2 linked regions of the Arabidopsis thaliana genome follow. The protein of the gene in region 1 interacts with the protein of each later gene in a biochemical or structural test. Each region holds a gene or a part of one and is shown in the gene's direction. Other genes may lie near its edges. The genes, in order: AT4G34090 and ATPC1.

What was found.
Region 2: the proteins of AT4G34090 (region 1) and ATPC1 form a complex in vitro, tested with the Arabidopsis thaliana proteins (one study listed by BioGRID).

The regions. Positions count from the first base shown.
Region 1 is NC_003075.7:16,323,956-16,333,879, reverse strand, and holds AT4G34090 (cyclin delta-3), read left to right. Parts: upstream 1-3,664; 5' UTR 3,665-3,769; coding exon 3,770-4,016; intron 4,017-4,123; coding exon 4,124-4,207; intron 4,208-4,351; coding exon 4,352-4,426; intron 4,427-4,516; coding exon 4,517-4,559; intron 4,560-4,656; coding exon 4,657-4,714; intron 4,715-4,815; coding exon 4,816-4,971; intron 4,972-5,056; coding exon 5,057-5,119; intron 5,120-5,216; coding exon 5,217-5,315; coding exon of another isoform or gene 5,316-5,360; intron 5,361-5,386; coding exon 5,387-5,482; intron 5,483-5,577; coding exon 5,578-5,829; 3' UTR 5,830-5,949; downstream 5,950-9,924. Other genes in the region: CER9 (RING/U-box superfamily protein), read right to left, coding at 77-237, 397-765, 845-1,056, 1,149-1,910, 2,017-2,700, 2,955-3,290; AT4G34080 (myosin-4 protein (DUF641)), read right to left, coding at 6,083-6,928; AT4G34070 (Calcium-binding EF-hand family protein), read left to right, coding at 8,627-8,679, 8,800-8,937, 9,026-9,128, 9,232-9,336, 9,495-9,580, 9,756-9,924. UniProt on the Arabidopsis thaliana protein: Involved in the assembly of the F(1) ATP synthase in chloroplast thylakoid membranes. Functions downstream of the CPN60 chaperones to promote assembly of the catalytically active core of the chloroplast ATP synthase.
Region 2 is NC_003075.7:2,348,091-2,357,389, reverse strand, and holds ATPC1 (ATPase, F1 complex, gamma subunit protein), read left to right. Parts: upstream 1-5,371; 5' UTR 5,372-5,507; coding exon 5,508-6,629; 3' UTR 6,630-6,892; downstream 6,893-9,299. Other genes in the region: AT4G04650 (RNA-directed DNA polymerase (reverse transcriptase)-related family protein), read left to right, coding at 2,177-3,051, 3,278-3,401. UniProt on the Arabidopsis thaliana protein: Produces ATP from ADP in the presence of a proton gradient across the membrane. The gamma chain is believed to be important in regulating ATPase activity and the flow of protons through the CF(0) complex.

The DNA.
Region 1 (9,924 bases):
TTTTTAGGGAATACTGTTAATAATGTGTAACCCGTGCCAAAGAATGACTCAGAAGATCAAAATTAACAAACATTACCATTGCACTTGATGCCATGAGTTATTGGAAGAATGGGAATGGCACTGAATAGAGCACGTCCCAGCGAAACTGGCACAACTATCAATGCTGAATTGAAGAGAAGAAGAGTCACCCATGCAACAAGTAGAAGGAGAATTATCCGGACCACAAAGTTGTACCTGCTAAAAATATACATTCATATCAGGGGAAGCCCTAATGGGAGTCTTAAAGTACTTAGTCAACTCTATATACCAAGCGAAAAGTCCTGTTAATTTATTCAAGTATGCCAAAATTCTTAATATCAAACAAGCTATTAGCTTATTTTTAAAGTAAGAACTTACTCAGAATCAGATTGTTCGTCATCATCTTCATATTCCTCACCCGTGTTGACATTCCCAGCACGGAGGCGACTTCTGTTAGGGTCATCAGCTACTGGAAGCGCAGCCATGGCCCTGTCAGGTCCTCCGACCTGCAACACTTGTGCTCTGTTCTGCCTTCCTGGTTCACCATTTCCATTGTCCTGACCAATGTTGTCTTCTGGTCTTGGCAAGAGGAAGTCTGTTAAACCAAGCGCCCAACCAACCCCAGTGAACCAGCAGCGTAGAAGGGACTTAATTGTGGTCCGAAGTCTGAAATGCTCGATGATAAATGGAATGCATATTTGAAACAGAAGCATGTCGGCGGGAATCTCAGTGAATGGGTCGGATACACTGCATATATGCCCAAGTTAGGAAAGACCTAATCAAACACAAAATCTCCAAAAACAAGAGGTTAGTCAATATTTCTTACGATATGTCAAGTGGAAAGATTGAAGGAGCCATCCGGATCGCAAGTTTGACTGGTAAAAATACCAGCATCACAATCAAACTTCCATACACTGCAACTGATAACAGTACCCTCCGAGCATGCTTGTGCACTGGATCATCAATCAAATCTCGGAATGGATTGTAATTAGGATCTGCTGGATCACGAAGGAAATACAGAACTCCAGGACGAAGAACCTGCAATTGGCACAAAGTGAAAAGATATATTTAGATAGCAGCAGCGAAAAAAACTATTTCTAGAATGAAAATGAGTAGGGACAACACAGTACCCCTCGAAGAAGGCTGACGAAGATGCTTATTTGCAACATGTACATGATTCCAACAACCCAATGAACAAGTGAGCTTGCCAGAGGAGAAATTGATAAAAACTGTACCCTGTGGGACATTGTTTTACCGAACATCCTAACAGTGCAAACATCTAGCCACCAACCACACATCAGAGGAAAGACCCCAAGCTCGATGACCAAAAGAAAGGCAACTTTGATCATGGTCATCAGATGCCTCATTGCTGCCAAGAACTGTCTAAGGAGGGATGGTACAGCTTCTACTATAGATGCAATACCATAAAATCTTCCAACAGTCAGTGGCTCACCCTTGGCATATCGAATCAGTGCAATGATCCCAAGGTAAAGGAACACCAGAAATACGATAAACATGTACCCAACAGCCAGAGTTGTAATATCAGAAAGCTTTGAGGCCCCAACAGTAGAACCTTTCAGGAGATCAGTAGCAACTGATAGCGTATTGTTTGCTCCATTCAATTCACTTCCGTTGACTTTCATCATTTCAGTGAGCTGACCAAGCAGCCCATTTCCTTGGCCCTCGCTAGTCAAATTCGAGACAGCAGTCAGCGCACTCTTCAGAGTAATATTTTCCAATGAGAGTCCGGTATCTGTAAGATGCAATGATGCAGCCACAGCAGGGCCTCTAGCAGCAGCAAAAAGCCATGACACGTGATACAATATAATCCGTCCCAAGGTAAAGGGCACGAAGATAACAACACCAAGGAATATCATATTGCTTGCTAGAACCTGCAAAATTATGCACATCATGAAGATTTAATAAGGGCCAATAGTGAAGAAGAAGGAACATAGAATTTAAAATATACATTGCCAAAAAGTAGAAACATCAACTTACAGTAAAGGCATTCTCAACCAAATGAAACACTGGACCTTGCATTCCAACCAGCTCATCAAATGGAACGTCTTCTGCACCATCAGCGTCATCCAACCCATCAAACATCTGTTCAACCTGAGCCTCAAGACGAGCTGCTTGTATGTCCAACCTTGCCAGAACATTTTCAGGATTCCTTCTAGCAATCTGACCAACCGCAGCACCCTGATCCCCAGCATCTTCACCATTCCCCTCTCCAGCAAGATTCCTATTAGCCTGTCCAGCAGGTCTTCTTGCAGCACGAGCACCATTTCTGTCCACATCATCATCTCTCTCTTCTTGTCCCCCAAGCTCTCGTAAGTGCCTAAAGTAGTCCCTTAATGAAGTAGCTCCAAGGAAGATGAAGACAATACTTGCAGATAGTAAGAACCCATGCAAGCAATCAGTGAGAATTACTGTGGTGGAGATGTGGCTTAAGAACAACCTTTGAGCTTCACCAAAAGTTCGCACGAAAGCCAAACGCCATATCCAAAATGTAATGAAAGGTATAGTGAGAAGCCAGACAGAAAGCACAAAACTCAACCGCAGAAAGAACTGTAAAACATGGCAAGCTTTCATAGCAATGCCAACTACAAACTCCTGGAAAGGGAGCCTTGACGGAGCATTGTCAGCATATACTGGGGAGAATGAAAAAGGATGCTTGCAAACCTGCAGAGATGAAATTAACAATAAGCACGTGTTCTCTTCTATGTGGAACTCCTACTTAAGAAACACATATTAAAAGAGAAGACTTTAAACTGTCAACGTTGAATATGAGCACACAGAAATATGCAATTGCCCATTCATTTACCCATATCAAAATTCCTAAAAGGCATTCAAATCAACACGAATCCAGATCTTAATTAGAATACGAATCTTCAAAATCTCAACAATCAAATAATAAAGAGGAAAAGAAACAAAACCTCGCATTGACGAGCGTTGCTGTGATTAAGCCACTGAAGGAGACAATCCTGGTGAACAAATTTGATACTTCCGCTACAGGCACACGGATACCGAAGCGGATTGTCTGCATCACCAGGATTTCTGCAGATCCTGCAAACGTCCTCTTCATCTTCGTCATCATCAACGTACCTCGATCCTGTCGCCGTCGAAACTGCAGGATCCATGTTTGAGAAAGGATTGGGTGATGCCTGATTCGGCGAGGAAGAGGAAGAAGAAGAAGATACGGAAGGCTCGGAGACGACCTCAGAAGCAGCCGCGCCAGAGATGGACAACGAATCGGCCGGGGAAATCTCCATAGAGAAATCCGGGCTATGAATTACGTATTGCGCAGACGGTGGTAACGGAGACGGCAACGGCGGAGCGAGTCGACTCGGTGAGTCTGATAACGCCGAGCTAAGAGGAAAGGCGTCGTCTATCGCGAATAATTATTATCCTCGAGAATTAAAATAGAAAAAGATCGGAAAAAAAATCAAAGACACCGAGAAAATTGATTATATGGTAGGCCTAACCGGGTCTTGTAAACCGGTAGTTGACGAAATTGACCTTCCCTCTTGCACATTTAATGACGGTTTTTGTCGGTTACGCGTCTTTAGTCTTTGTTGGGTTTGGGCCTTAAATTGTAACAGACTAAGCCCATCTCATTTTTTTTTCTTTTTTTTTTGCTGAATCAGAAACAAAATCAATGGCTATCTTTTGCTGCTACTGCTGAATTACGAAAATTCTGTGAGGTTGAGGAAGCAGAGTGAAGAGAAAGATAGAGAGATAAGAAGAAGCCATGGGTTCGATTTCGATGCACATAACTCCCTCTACTGCTCTCCCTATACGCCATTTCAGAGCTAGAGTCTCTTGTTGCTCTTCTGGTAATTTCGTTTTTCCTCCGTTTGTGAGAATTGCATGTGATTGTCGAATTATAGTAATTGTCGATTGTTTGATGGCTTTTCAAATCGAGAAAATGCTTGAGCTTATATCTTTGTTGAGTATTTTAGAACAATCTTTTGTAGGAAAATGCAGTGACTATGACTGTCTTTTTGATTATTCTTGGTGGAGACAACAAATTAACAAAAGAATGTGTAATAATTCTTCCAAAGAGACACATTGGGATTGACTTAAGATTAGCGTTGTTGTGTAGGGCATGTATCATTTATCAAAGATGTTGCTGCCACTGAACCTCCAATGCATCTTCATCACTTACTCAAAGTGCTTCAAACAAGAGGTAAAATAATGCTCAATTTTGTTCCTCATTTATGTCCAAACTTATGTATTCGTTTCTTTTCATCACTTATTCTGGATTTGTAATAATGGAGAAAGGGAAACTTATGGTTCTTAAAGTCTCAGTTGCTTCATATATCTTCTGCAGGTGAGACAATCATATCTCCTGGAGCTAAGCAGGGACTGATCCCTCTTGCTATTCCGCTTTCGAAGAATTCGTCAGGTAAGACCACACTTTCGATAGAATCCATTAGCTTTTTCCAGGAGCTTGTCTTTAGTTTTGTTTTTCTGGTTTTTTTTTTTGTCTAAGTAGGCTCTGTTACTGCGCTTTTGAGATGGCCTACTGCTCCACCAGGGTAAGAGATTTGGATCTCTTTCTTGGTAACTCTTGCAGTAGTAAAAATATGTTGTTGGGTTATTCTTGGTTTTTAACTTTTTTGTATTCGAGAACAGAATGGATATGCCGGTTGTGGAAGTTTGGAGGAGTGGAGTCAGGCTTATAGCTAGAAATGTAAAGACTTCTCATTCTGTTTATACGTAGCTTATCCTTTTAAGAGGATTTATGTCTTTTTTGTGTTACCAAGAAACAATCTTACATTTTTTGATATTCAGGTAGATGAATACATTCACCGGATTCTAGTTGAAGAAGATGCACAAGAGTTGACAGAACTATATCGTGCTTCGGGAGAGGCAGGTGAAAAACTTTACGAAAAGGGTGCTTTTGCTGAATCTGAAATTGACAATCTCGATGTCTATGTTTTGAAAAAGGCAAGACTGAAAAACTCATGACTTATAGATAAAAGGTTATGTACACCACAATAAACAGTATTTGCTTTTGTTTTGTATCGTCTAGGTTGGACTGTTTCCAGATTTGTTGGAGCGGAAAGTATTACGGCATTTTGATGAAGGAGATCATGTAAGACATTTGACGCATATGATATGACATTCTATTATCATGAATCTCTCTTCTGTGACACTTTTTCAGGACATTTTCTTCTTTTTGTCTATGGAAGGTTTCAGCTATGGTGACAGGAGAATTTTACACAAAGAAAGACCTCTTTCCAGGATTTGGACGACCTTTTGTATATTATGCAAACATACTACAGAAGTTTGTAAACTTTACATACCTAAAACATATCTCCATTTTATTTTCGTAGAGAAAGATGTAGCCACTTATCTTCAGATTCTTATTCGCAGGGTAGGGCGGAATGTAGAAGCAAAAGATGCGGCTAGGGTAGCATTGAGATCACCGTGGTGGACATTAGGATGTCCGTATGAGGTATGACAAAAGTTTTTTTGTTCTTCTTTTTCGGTTGTACTGAGTTTTAAAGCATAGAGACATATTCATGGTCATGGTATCTTGAAAACATGCAGGAGGTTGCTAGTATAGCACAATGGGAAGACGAGCAGATCGAATTCATAAGGGAAAAAGTGAGTGATGAAGGTCGTTTTGAAGATTTGCATAAAGGCAAAGCTCCAATCCAAGTTGCGTTGGATGTTGCGGCTTTTCTCTTGGATTTGGCTTCTATCGAAGGAACTTGGTCCGAATCTTTAAACCATATTGCTAAATGTTATGAGGAAGCTGGATTACACCATATCTCTAATTTCGTTTTGTACACAGATTGAATCCATATTAATGTATGTTCTTCACAACACTTTCCATGTATGAATCAGAGAACTCACTACCCTTTTTCACTTGGAAGATCTTTGCAGCTGGATCAAAAGAGTAAGCAAGCTTGTGCAAGATCCATATCGACTTTGCAAGTTTTAAGAAGGCCTGGTAAAATGCAGTCCTCGGGTGGCCACCTCCTGTCACGTAGTCACGCTGGTCTAGATTTCCAAAGAAAGAAGCTTCCATCTTTGGGTGGACTAAGAGGAGCTACTTGCTCCTGCAGAATATACCAAAGTTGGAATCAGGGTTTGTACCTAGAGCATCTAGTGGATCCATGTCCTTGAGAGCAAGAAACTGGCGGAAAAAGGTGTCTGTGTCATCATCGGCCATAACCGTAGCACTCTCTGAGTTTACTGAGAAGTTCTTCTGCTGAAACCCACTGAACATCCTTTGGCATATGTATGATTCAAATGCATATTCCTTGTGAGGCCTCTTGGCGTAAACAACATCAGGCTCAATAGAATTGGCTGCAGTATCAAGATCCCATCCTGCTGCTTTCATCATGTTGATTAGCGGCTTGGAGAAATCATGCACAACTTTAGCAGCAGCTTCGTAAGTAGATACAAAGAGTTCAGTAGTCAAGTCAGGAAACTGTAAATTTCCATCTCCACCAGAACCTTGGTTTGTAGACATTCCTCTTAACTTAAGATTCTTCTCAAGCTTAAGCCGTTTCTGGTTTGCTTCCTCAATCTTCTGCAGCATCTGCGTGATCTCGGAATCCTTGTTCTGAATCTCAGACTGAAACTTCTTCACCATGACCTCATAAGTCTTCAACAAACTCTGCTGCTCTTGAATCTCTGCAGCTAAACGAGAGTCTTGTGGAGAGACACATACAGGCTTGGGGTTATTCTCTCTGTAAAAATGCTTCATTTCGGAAAGATTCTTGAGTTCAGAAATGACAACTTTGTCCGCTGCCTGAATCTTCTCGGGATCGTAAGGAGTATGAGCACTTTGAAGCTCGATATAAGCAGATTTCAAAGACGAGATGTTTCCAAAGAGATTGGAGATAAGTGCTTCCATAGCTTCAGGATTTTGATTGATAGACTCTTCCATTGGTTGAGGATGGATTATGTATGTGTTTCATGTTTGGATCATAAAAATATAAGAGACAGTGAAATCAGCATTATGCATGTCACCAACAGAAAGTAAATAAGAGTATCAAATACTATAACAAGTACCTACAAATTTGCAAAAGAACGATCCAACTTGCAAAAAAGGTTCTTAAATTCGAAAAACTATTGTCGCTTGGGGGAAAACAATGATAACCAAGAACTCATAGTCCCTAAAGTCAGCAAAGCTTTATTTATATAAGACCTTTCCTTGCGCCTTAAACCACTGGTTTCAGCCTTTGAGCTTTCAGAACCTGCCAGGTCAATGAGGTTCTGCAGATATATGTGAAAGTGAAATTATGGTCCGTTGTTCATCTTTAAGTGTTCAGACAGTGCAATAATAAACAGTTTGTCAGAGTTAATGAAACAGTAAGCTATTACCGAACATAAAATCACTTGATAAAAAGAAAAGATGTTATAGCAGCTCCACTTTCATTATTGTCAACCAATGTATTGACCATGGGTGTCATAAGAGAAAAGTTCTACTAGGTTGCAAAGTGTGTAAAGCAGAGAACTAACCTAAAGAATGCAACTATAAGCTAACTACAGTAAAAGTAAAGGCTTTATAGGGTCAACAGAACGACACTAGCTACATGCATAATGTGAGTTTGATTTCCTGTCTGGGACCTCACTCAAGCATAAACCAATGTTAACAATCCACAGAACAAACATATCAAACAAAGTGACTATGACATTTTCTTTGGAATGCAGAGCCTTAAGGTGGTACCTTTCCTGTATAATGTAACTGTGGCTTGCTATGGCTATCCACATATGTCTTTGGATAAAGTTTTGAAGACGAGGTTGTTGAAAATACAAGGGAATCACAAAGGCTTTAACTTGCTTAATCCAGCATTTGTAGACTTTGATATTTGTTTAGATCTTATCACAAAGGAAATTCCAACTTTCGGTGACTGAAAAAAAAGATGCAAGTACAAAACTTTATCAAATAATAAGAGCTAGCAACAAGTATACTATTGCACTTTTTTTGAGTTTTTAAGCCAATCAGAAGGCTATATTTCGTACCCACTCGCAGAAAGAGCGCGTTGAGCGAGTGAGGGCGATTCTGTGGGTAAACCCCTTTCCAATTCATGACTTTTTTAATCGACGCACATCTCTCCAAATTCTCCATCGCGTGACTCTTTTAGTTATTTTCAACAAAACCAATGAAACCGAACCGAAATCAGTTTTAATTTCAAAACCAATACAAACCAAACCGAATCAGCAAATAGTGTGAGGCAACAATTCTGGACAGAAAATTTATCAACATCTCAACAACGGAAAAAAGAGAAAACACCACAACTCAAAATCATAAATCATAGAAAAATATCCAAAAAAATCACAGTAGCCTTTGATTAAACTTTCAAATTGCAAAATCTCAGAATCAAAGCCAAGAAGAATCCTGAAGATTTCTACTTCCATGGCATCCAATAGAGGAAGAAGAACAATCTACTGCTTCAATTAAACATGAAAAACGATTCAGAGAGCTTAGCTTTACTAGTTTCAGTAAAATTTCTCGGCAACAAAGTCAAAACAGACATGAACACATAAAAAAAGATACTAAAACAGAACTGTATATTCGACAAGAACAAGAACGAATTGCAATAATTAAACAGATTAGACTCACCAGTGGAAATCTAAAAGCATGAATCTAGTTGTGAGCTCTTCGTGTTTGCCCCCCTTTATTTTCTGTTCTTTGTGTGATTTCAACTCACAACTTTTATATTTTACTCTGCTGCTTCGAGATCAACGCATTAAAAGTAATGGAGTACATTAAGAATATTTCGATTTTAAGGGGTTGAAGTTGTAATTTTGAAGAAGTGGAAGATCAATCAAAAATAATAGAAGAACAGAGACGACGAAACCTGCCGGAGAACTGAGGGGAGAAAAAAACCCGGCGAAAAAGGGAAATTCGAATTCGTCTTCTGTTGATCATTGCTTCACTTCTGCTTCCAGGTCTTCATCGGAACCAATCTCACTTTCACTCTCTAATTTCTAAATTGAAAATCGATCTTATCAATTGTGTGTTTGTGTTTTATTGCAGAGCTTTTACTCAGAAGAAGCTCGCTGATCTCAAATCTCTCTTTTTTTCCCTCGCTTCCAAGTCTCAGAGCAATGACCAATACGTCTCGTACCCTGTTTTCCAGGTTTTGACAAAAAAAAAATTGTGTTCTGTTGTCATCTGGTTTTTGTGGTTGATAATTTTGAATTAAGCCTTACACGATGTGTGTCGGATTTCGATTTTCACAGGAGTATTTTGGTCTGAGTGGTTCTTTAGGAGAAAGGATCTTTGATATGGTTACTCAACACAGGAAAGATGATAAAATGACTTTTGAAGATCTTGTTATTGCTAAGGTATACTCAAGTCTTTTTATCCTCTTAATCATTTGGTTTCTTCTTCTGAGCTTTTGAAGATCTTAAAATGCAGAGTTCAATAGGATTAGCAGTTCTAGGACTCGATATAGAATTTGAGAGATTCGATTGTGTTCAACTCAATTCCTGTTGCTTTTTAGGCAACATACGAGAAAGGAACTGATGATGAGATTGCTGAGTTTATTTACCAGACTTTGGATGTTAATGGCAATGGGGTCTTGAGAAGGTATCCATCTTGTGGCTTCAAGTTGCTTCTGTTATCCAAGTTTCATTACCTGTTTTGTTGTATGTCCATTACTGGTCTCTTGATCCACTTAACATATTTGGATAGAAAATGAATTGAGATTGTTAGATTAGATGGGGTTATTCTCTGAATGTGACACATTCTAGTATGTCTTCAGGTCTGATTTAGAGTCGTTCCTGGTGGTGATTTTGAAGAGTGTGTTCTCCACTGAGAGTTCTGATGCGGAATCAAGTGATTACAAGGAGATGGTAGATGCGCTACTCGATGCCGCTACTTTCTCAAAATCTGATGATGGTTCTGAAAAAGGAATGTCTTTTGAAGACTTC
Region 2 (9,299 bases), about 14 Mb from region 1:
ATAAGAAACCAAGCGCAATCAATTCACAGAGAATCGAGCCTAATTGAAACAGCAAACCAACTTTTGAAAGTAGCAAATGAAATCCAACTGAATCAGAACTCCAACAAAAAACTGGTAATTCTTCGGACAAGGGCTCCGCTCAAGTATAATGATATACTACAGAGGAGAAGTTCTTAAGCCCAACAGAAACGGGACGGCAAACGAACGGCGATGAGAATTTCTAAAATGAGCTGCTAAGTGAGAGAACAAAGATTTTTTTAGTTTGATCGCGTTAACTCATGAAGCAAATTTATTGACGAAGATTAAATTTAAAGAGATTAAATCTATATCTATTTTATCCTTGAAGGCAAACATTTTTTTGTTCCTTGCATTTAAATAAATCTTGGTGGTTCTCTCTCTTCTCTCATCAGCATCTTTTAGAGAGAGGAAGCACTGGATCTTCTTTTTCCGACAATAATCGCTTCTTCAACGTTTGTTGGCCGGTTTTCTGTCCAGAATTTATGGCTTTTTCAGTATGGATGTCTGGCTTTTGTCCAGCGACGTTTTGGGCAACGTTTGATCTGTTTTCGTTCTGACACTGTCCGGTTTTTTACGGCGGTGGTCTGCTTGCGTCTGGCTTCCGTTGGCTTCTTTAGCGGCGGTGGGCTAGCTAAGGTCCAGAGTTTCACCGCCTATCTTCGGTGTCTCGTCTAGCTTTTGGCCAAATTGATTTCCGGTTTAGATTTATGTTTTCATCTCTCGATTTCTTTATATTTGGTTTGATTGAGGTCTTTTGTGTTTCCATTTGGAATATAATTCCTTGAACCTCCTTTGTTTAAAGGGCTCGATTTGTTTTCCAAGCTTATCGATTTCAATTTTTTAGGAACAAATTGAGTTGCAGATTAAAGTTTTTTACGCCTCTCGGTTGAATCTAATGCAATTGTGGCTATTTCTCTAACCGTTTTATGGAGACGAGTGCTTTTTTGTTTGTTTTTAGGTGTTGTTGAAAGCTCAAAGACTTACTCTACGTCGATGTTCCTTGGATTTCGGGAGTCAATTGCCTTTGGTAGATCTTTCCTTTCCTGATTTGCTGATGAAGTTTGGTGGGGTTCTCTAATTAAAAATTGATAGACTTCTCTTGAAGCTCTGGCGGTTTCCATGGTTTTGGAGTTCTCTGAGTTGCTAACCAGTTCGGCGATGAACAGCGACGACTAAGGCTTCTTCAGTCCACGTGTTTCAACTTTGTTTCTTCACATCACACGTGGCTTTTGGGTGGAAGGCAATCTTTAAATTTACTTTCTCTAAGGGTTTTGTTTCCTGGACTGGGCTTTCTTTATGGGCATCTGCTTATAAGCTAGACTTGTTTGTTTTTATGCAACATGGATGACTATACTTTAGTTGATCCAACGTTGTAAGATTTAATATGTGTCAACTGTCAAGATTTGTAAGTGGAAGGTTCCACAGTTGTATCTTTACAACACAAGTTTTAAAATAAAGTATAACACTTATGAGAAAAAAAAAACTTTTTAATGAATCACTTTATTTCATGTCTTATTTTCTATTTAACTCCATTCATAGAATGAAGCTTTCCTTTTTTCTAGAGTTTGAAAATGTTCTTGAAAGTTTTCTCAACTCGAAATCCATCTCCTTTGAGTTTTTTTGTTTTGTTTTGTTGAACCCCTAGTTAAGGTTTTGAGTGAGCACACATAAACCTTTTTGAGTATTGCTTTAGATCCGATGAAGAATAAATCATACAATCGACAATAGTATAAGAGCACACATAAAAACCCAAGATATTATCATTAGTGTAGTCCATCTAAATCAATGTTATTAGGTTTTATAATAAGAGTTTTTCATATATATAAATATATATATATGGGTTCATATATATAAATATATATATATGGGTTCATATATATAAGTCCATATATATGTTGTGTAAATTAATGTAGCCAAAGCTGATTATTGGTGCAGCCACATTCAATCTTTTATGAACTAAAACAAATATAAATTTTTTCTTTTTGGTTCCTCGCATTTTAATAAAACTCTTTAATGAACTACTTCATTATTTGTCTTATTTTCTATTTTAACTCCACAATTACAGGATTCGACTCCACTTATGTGAAGAACCTTTCCTCTCATGTAGAGGACGAAGATGTCCTTGAAGGTGTTGAAATGATATCCAAGATGGTGGAAGATGTGTAAGCTCAGAGTTGTGGCAAGGCCCTTTATTGTTTGTGAGGTTGGTTCCGGGGTCACCGCTAAGTTTTGGCATGATAATTGGATTGGCCTTGGCCCCCTTATAGAGGTAATCGGTCCTCTAGGCCCTCGTACAGTTGGTTTGCCTATTGATGCTGTGGTTAGGGATGCGTTAAGGGGCACGTCTTGGTGGATTGCATCAAGCCGTAGCAGGAATCCAATCATTGTTCAGCTTAAAAATCTTCTCCCGGAGGCTCAGGGTTTGCTTGACTGTCAGCATGACGACTCCTTTCTTTGGAAAACGGACCTTCATGCACCATCAAACAGATTCTCCGCTCCAAGAACTTGGTCTGCTCTGCATCCGCAATCTCACACCGTCCCCTGGCATAAGGCGGTCTGGTTTAAGAACCATGTTCCTAAGCACGCCTTCATTTGTTGGGTTGTGGCGTGGAATAGATTGCACACAAGGGATAGGCTTCAGAATTGGGGTCTCTCGATCCCTGCTGAGTGTCTTCTTTGCAATGCTCATGACGATTCGAGAGCACATCTCTTCTTTGAGTGCCAGTTTAGTGGTGTCGTGTGGAGGTTTTTTACAGCCTCAACCAACCTTAATCCTCCTGCCCAATTAATGGACTGTCTTAACTGGCTCTTATCTCCCTCAAGGGAAAAAAATATTTGTCTCATTATCAGGCTGGCCTTTCACTCTTGTGTTTATGCAATTTGGAGAGAAAGAAACCAACGTCTCCACTCCGGCGTCTCTCGTTCTACTGAGTCTATCTTGAAGGACATCCAGCTCATCATTCGCGCTCGTCTGGATCCTTTGTCTCGCAGCACGGCTCATCAACCTAACGCTTTGTCCTTGCTAGGAACTTGGTTTTCGTTGTTCTAGTTCAGGGCTGTTTGTTTTGGTTTTCTAGTGTTGCAGGTTTCGTCTCCCCTTTTGTTTGTTGCAGGAAAAGGTTTGTTTTCTCCTGTGTTGGGCATGTGGCCTTTATTTGGGCTTTTGCCATTGTATGTTTTAAAGTTGAATGGAAATTTATGAACTAAAAAAAAAAAAAAAAAAAATGGTGGAAGATGCCCAAAAAGTTGGTAGCTATAGTGAACCAGAAATAACCGTCTATAAAGCACCCGAAATTGAAGTTAAATTGGATAACTTTAATGAAAAGACTGATATCTATAGTTTCGGGATTGTTTTTTTGAGTTTGGCGCTATTTTGGATCTGACATGGAGAGGGCTCGTACCTTACATAAATACCACCACCACCACCCCCCCCCCCCCTTTCAATAGCTATTGTTGTTTTAGATATATTGATACATCAATGTTTTGTTGTCTAAGTAAGGTATTTGCATTTTGGATTTCGATTCAGGACATTCTGGTTAGGCACGGTTTTGATTCATTTCATAATCGACTTGACACAAATTGCGTGGATGGTGCCGATTTTGTGACCTAAATACTAACATCAAATTTTGTGACCTAAAAGAAGTCTTATATATTTTGAAAGTTGCATTATCATCATTCCATTTCAAAGAAATAAAAAAGAAAGAAAATAAAATAATCAAACCCTTAAAAGAACTTACTCATTTCTTGCATATTACATATGAGTAGCAATTTGTATTGCCTTTCCACTAAGGATCTACCTCTTTTAGGCAACTGAAAATGTTGAATTTGATGGATCATAATCTTCATTGTACTTAGGGTGGTCAACTCATTTTAAAGTCAGTTCTGGTGTGATGTGTAATCTTTGTTTGGTTGGGCTTTTATAACTCGAGCAACGAGTTCATATTAATACGGTGCAGATTTTACATAGATTGTTACTATAACCCTAAATCCAATAAGGTGTATGACTCAACATGTTCAGCATCCTTAATGTTCTATTATTTGAAATGGTGGACGAGTATGCAATAATTGACGGAAAGAATAATGAGCTTTACTTCATGTAAGCATCAAAGATTCATAGGTCGATTTGATCCTTAAGAGATGAATAGAATGTCACTAGATTGTTGGTGATTAATAAAGATGATATTAGTTTGTACAAATCCATGAGAAACTGAGCGTACGTAATAATATGTTTGGTGATGAAAATAAAACAAAACAAATAAAACTAAGAACTTGTTTATAGCAAGAGGTTGGGAATTTTTGTGGTTTCTGTGTGATTTCGGTATGTTCTTGTAACAATAAGCATATTCCAAAATATGTATCCGGATGTAGTTGAAGATACAATAATATATAATTTTAACCAAAAAGAAAACTACAATTTTCATGATAAAATTAATATTTTATTGATTTTAATATATAAACATCTTATAATTAATTTAATGAATAAAATTTTATAAATTTTTATATCTATAATTTAGTTAATTCTTATTATATGTTTATTATTTCGTTCTAATTTCTAACCAAATATTAGTTTTTAATATTTGTTTTGATCTGTAGAATTATTTTATCGGAATTTTTGGAATAAATCGAAGCAATTAACAAATGAAACCATTGTTGTTAGTTGTTACACTATATGATTTTTTCGTTATAACCAAATATTTGTTTTTCTCTATAAAGTTTTGCTTATCAAAAAAATTTTGGAGAAAATTGAAGCAATTAACAAATTAAACCAGATTAAAAAATATATATATATACATATATATATATATCATTTTAAGTCTCTTGTAAGGTAATTTGATTGGTATATATATATACTAATGGACCAAAACCATACCAAAGAAATTAAACCAAACCTAATTACTCTAATTTCTATCCTTTGTCAGATATTTTCTCTCGTTGGGGTCAAAAACTCATAAAATAAAAAAGCAATTAACAAATCAAACCAGATTACAAATTATATATATATATATATATATATATATATATATATCATTTTAAGTCTATTGTAAGGTAATTTGATTGGTATATATATATACTAATGGACCAAAACCATACCAAAGAAATTAAACCAAACCTAATTACTCTAATTTCTATCCTTTGTCAGATATTTTCTCTCTTTGGGGTCAAAACTCATAAAATAAAAAAGCAATTATTGGTTGGCTGATAAACAATTACAAAGAAGTAAGATATATACCACACACCCCAAAAAAAAAAAACATTGAAGATATCGAACCATCCACTAATACAACGCCACGTCAACAAAAAGAGGATCCCACAATTTGCAGACTCCAAATAGCAAATGTAAAACCTTATCTCCAAACCTAATCTCATCACCTTCTCTTCCCTCCACTCAAATCTCTCCTCTCTTCTTTCTTCTTCTTCAATACAATACAATCAAAAGAACAGAGAGATAAGGTTAGAGCAAAACACTGTCTGAAACAAACAACAAAAAAATGGCTTGCTCTAATCTAACAACAATGTGGGTTTCATCAAAACCATCTCTTTCTGCTGATTCATCTTCCTTATCATTCCGATCTGTTCTCAAGTGCCCAACTAACACTTCCTCACCTCCTTCACGAGCTTCCTCTGTTTCACCACTCCAAGCGTCTCTTCGTGAGCTCAGAGACCGTATCGATTCAGTCAAAAACACTCAAAAGATCACCGAAGCTATGAAGCTTGTCGCTGCAGCTAAAGTCAGGAGAGCTCAAGAAGCTGTTGTCAATGGACGACCATTCTCAGAAACCCTAGTTGAAGTTCTTTACAACATCAACGAACAGCTTCAAACCGATGATGTCGATGTTCCCTTAACCAAAGTCAGACCGGTTAAGAAAGTAGCTCTCGTTGTCGTCACCGGTGATCGTGGATTATGTGGTGGATTCAACAATTTCATCATTAAGAAAGCAGAGGCAAGAATCAAAGAGCTTAAAGGTCTAGGTCTTGAATACACAGTCATTAGCGTGGGCAAGAAGGGAAATTCTTATTTCCTCCGTCGCCCGTACATCCCCGTCGACAAATACCTAGAAGCCGGAACTTTACCTACGGCTAAAGAAGCTCAAGCTGTGGCTGATGATGTCTTCTCTCTGTTTATAAGTGAAGAAGTCGACAAAGTCGAGCTCTTGTACACAAAGTTTGTCTCTTTGGTCAAATCAGAACCCGTGATCCACACGCTACTGCCTTTATCACCTAAAGGAGAGATCTGTGACATTAATGGAACCTGTGTGGATGCTGCGGAAGATGAGTTTTTCAGGTTAACGACAAAAGAAGGGAAATTGACAGTTGAAAGAGAGACTTTTAGGACACCAACAGCTGATTTCTCGCCGATCTTGCAATTCGAGCAAGACCCTGTTCAGATTCTTGATGCTTTGTTGCCTCTGTATCTTAACAGTCAGATTCTTAGGGCATTACAGGAGTCATTGGCTAGTGAGCTTGCAGCTAGAATGAGTGCAATGAGTAGTGCTTCGGATAATGCATCGGATCTCAAGAAATCGCTTTCGATGGTGTATAATAGAAAGCGTCAAGCTAAGATTACTGGAGAGATTCTTGAGATTGTTGCTGGAGCTAATGCACAGGTTTGATTTGTTTTGAACCCTCTTTGAATCTTCTATATGAGTCCAAAACTCTCTTCTTCTTCTTTTTTTTTCGTTATCGTTTGTATAATGTATAATTGATAATCTCTAGAACTCTTTATAATCATGCAATTACAAACAAAAACGCGGTTGTATCTATTTTGGCTTTTCATTGGATAAAATGATGGAGATCTTCGTTGAATATTTGTGGATGATGAAGAGTTTTTGTAGGATCCTTTGGAGGAATAAGATTTTGGTTTCTTTGGTTGTTAGTTGTGAATCCTTTTCCATTGTTGTTATGACTAAGGATCTTAGTTAGGGACAACATTGAATCCTTTTGTTCACCCCATCTTTCAAGATTTCATAAGACTTTTTTGAATACCTCTGACTGGATTTGGTAGTCTTTAAATGTACATCGGAAGATACAAGTCTCGAGTCGTGACTAACCAACACAGCTGCTCCTTTGAACCAACTTAGTGAATTCCCCAAGGCAGTTATAGTTGGCTTGTCCAAGTGATTAGTTGGCTCGTCAACAAAGCAAAATGTGTGGGTTGGACATTGAGATGGAGGCTAACACAACCTTAGCCTTTTGTCCTTCAAACAATCGTGAAAATGAAGTGTAATGGTGTTGACTTGGGAGACCAAACCTGATCAGTTTCAAACGCACCGCATCAAGTTTAATATATTTCCTTTGGTCTTGGGTGAGGAGGATAAAGATCTAGGAAGAATATATCCAAGTGGGCTTCTCCACAAAAGAGTACCTTCCGATCCTCAGGTTCTGGCTTATTCTCACTTCACCCACAGTAACTAAATCTCCCGCAAGAACATTCAAAACAGTAACTAAATCTCCCGCAAGAACATTCAAAAGACTAGACTTTGCAGTTCCGTGAAACCCAAGTATCGCTACTCGTGTCCCCGCAACTATACGTACGTCCAATTTTTGAGAGCCTCAATTATGGCGTATTAACGCTTACCTCAATCAACTGAAGAAGGGGACGTGGGAGCTCCGTTGGTGCTGTAAAACCGAGCTCCAACCTATAAAAAAAAAACCTCACGTCGTCACTTGGAACTTGTAGTGTTGCCATCGAATTACCATGTATCTAAAAAACACAAAAAAAAAAGTTAAGAATTTTGTTTCCTATCTTCTTCAATTGCATATCCAACAAGACATTATTTAGTTTGTTTGTTTGTTCACCGCAGGCGGCAGCGGCAGCGGGAAACTCTACCGCAGATTGTTATTCGTTTCGTCGCCACTGCCGCTGACGCAACATTTATGTTCGTTTGGATGCCGCCGACGCTGCCGCTGCCGCAAGTATCTATGTTCGTTTCGCCGCCGCTGCGTTAGTTTTAACTTAATTCTTATTTTCTTAATATAAATTTGTATTATAATTATATTTGAATAAAAAAAATGTAATCTAAATATAGTTACATCCATAACATTTTTTATTTAACTAGTTATAATTTTTAGTTTTCTTTTGTAATTATAACGATAAAAATTTGTGAAAAATCATAAGCATAATTATAACAATAAAGTAGTACACCAAGTTATAAGCAAAAAAGATAGACAAAATCGTTAACTAAAATAATAAACCAAGTCACTAAAAAAAACATATCTAATAAGGTAAGCGACCTTTATTACATTCGTTCGTGATGTTGTTACGTAAAGCTTCCATCGCTCTGTCACCAATAGGCTTATATGCAACATGTTCTTCTCCTTCTTCTTCTTCTCCTTCTTCTTCTTCTTCTTCTTCTTCTTCTCCCTCTCCTTCTTCTTCTTCTCCTTCTTCTTCTTCTTCTTCTTCTTCATCATCAACATGATATTCTTCTATGCTTTGCCACTATAAAAAATCATGATCTTCCCGATGTGAATCCCTTATAAAATTGTGTAGTGCCATTGTCGCTGTTACAATCTTTATCCACTTAGTCAGACCATATTTTGGATGCTTACGATCTAAAATCCTCCATTTTGCTTTTCATACTCCAAATGTCCTCTCAATCACAGATCGCAAACCTGAATGCTTTCGGTTGAACAACTCTCGTGCAGTTACTGGTGGTCCTCCTCTACCAAACTGACCAAGATGATATCGCATCCTACGATGTGGACCAAGATACCCAGTCCTGGTGGGATATCCGAAGTCAACAAGATAATACTTCCCATTAGGCGGATGTGGGAAATAGGTTCATTCGTCGCACAATAATTCAAAACCTTTGTATCATGTGCTCTACCAGGTACACCGACATATGCATATATGAATTTCATATCGAAATTACATATAGCAAGAACATTCATTGTAGGTTCTAGCTTTCTACCTTTATATTTTTCTGCAGTTTGACTTGGAGGGCGAACCGGGACATGAGTTCCATCAAGTGCTCCAACACAATCTCTAAAAAAAGGCCAATATCGATCATCATTCTTCAAAACAGGGTTTACTCTTGTAAACTCACCTTCTTGTGGCTTTAATGTATCCGCTGCAAACTTTAATAGAGCACTCAGAACATCATCAATCTTTCTTTTCACTGTATCCAATGACCGTTGATATCTTGCAGCAATATCTCGAACAGTCTTATCCTAGCCAACCACCTCGAGAAACATGGCAACAGATTCCTCAAGGTAAACATTTTCAGACTCTTCTAATCCATATTTCCTAGTTAGCATCTTACATAAAGTTTCAAATGTTC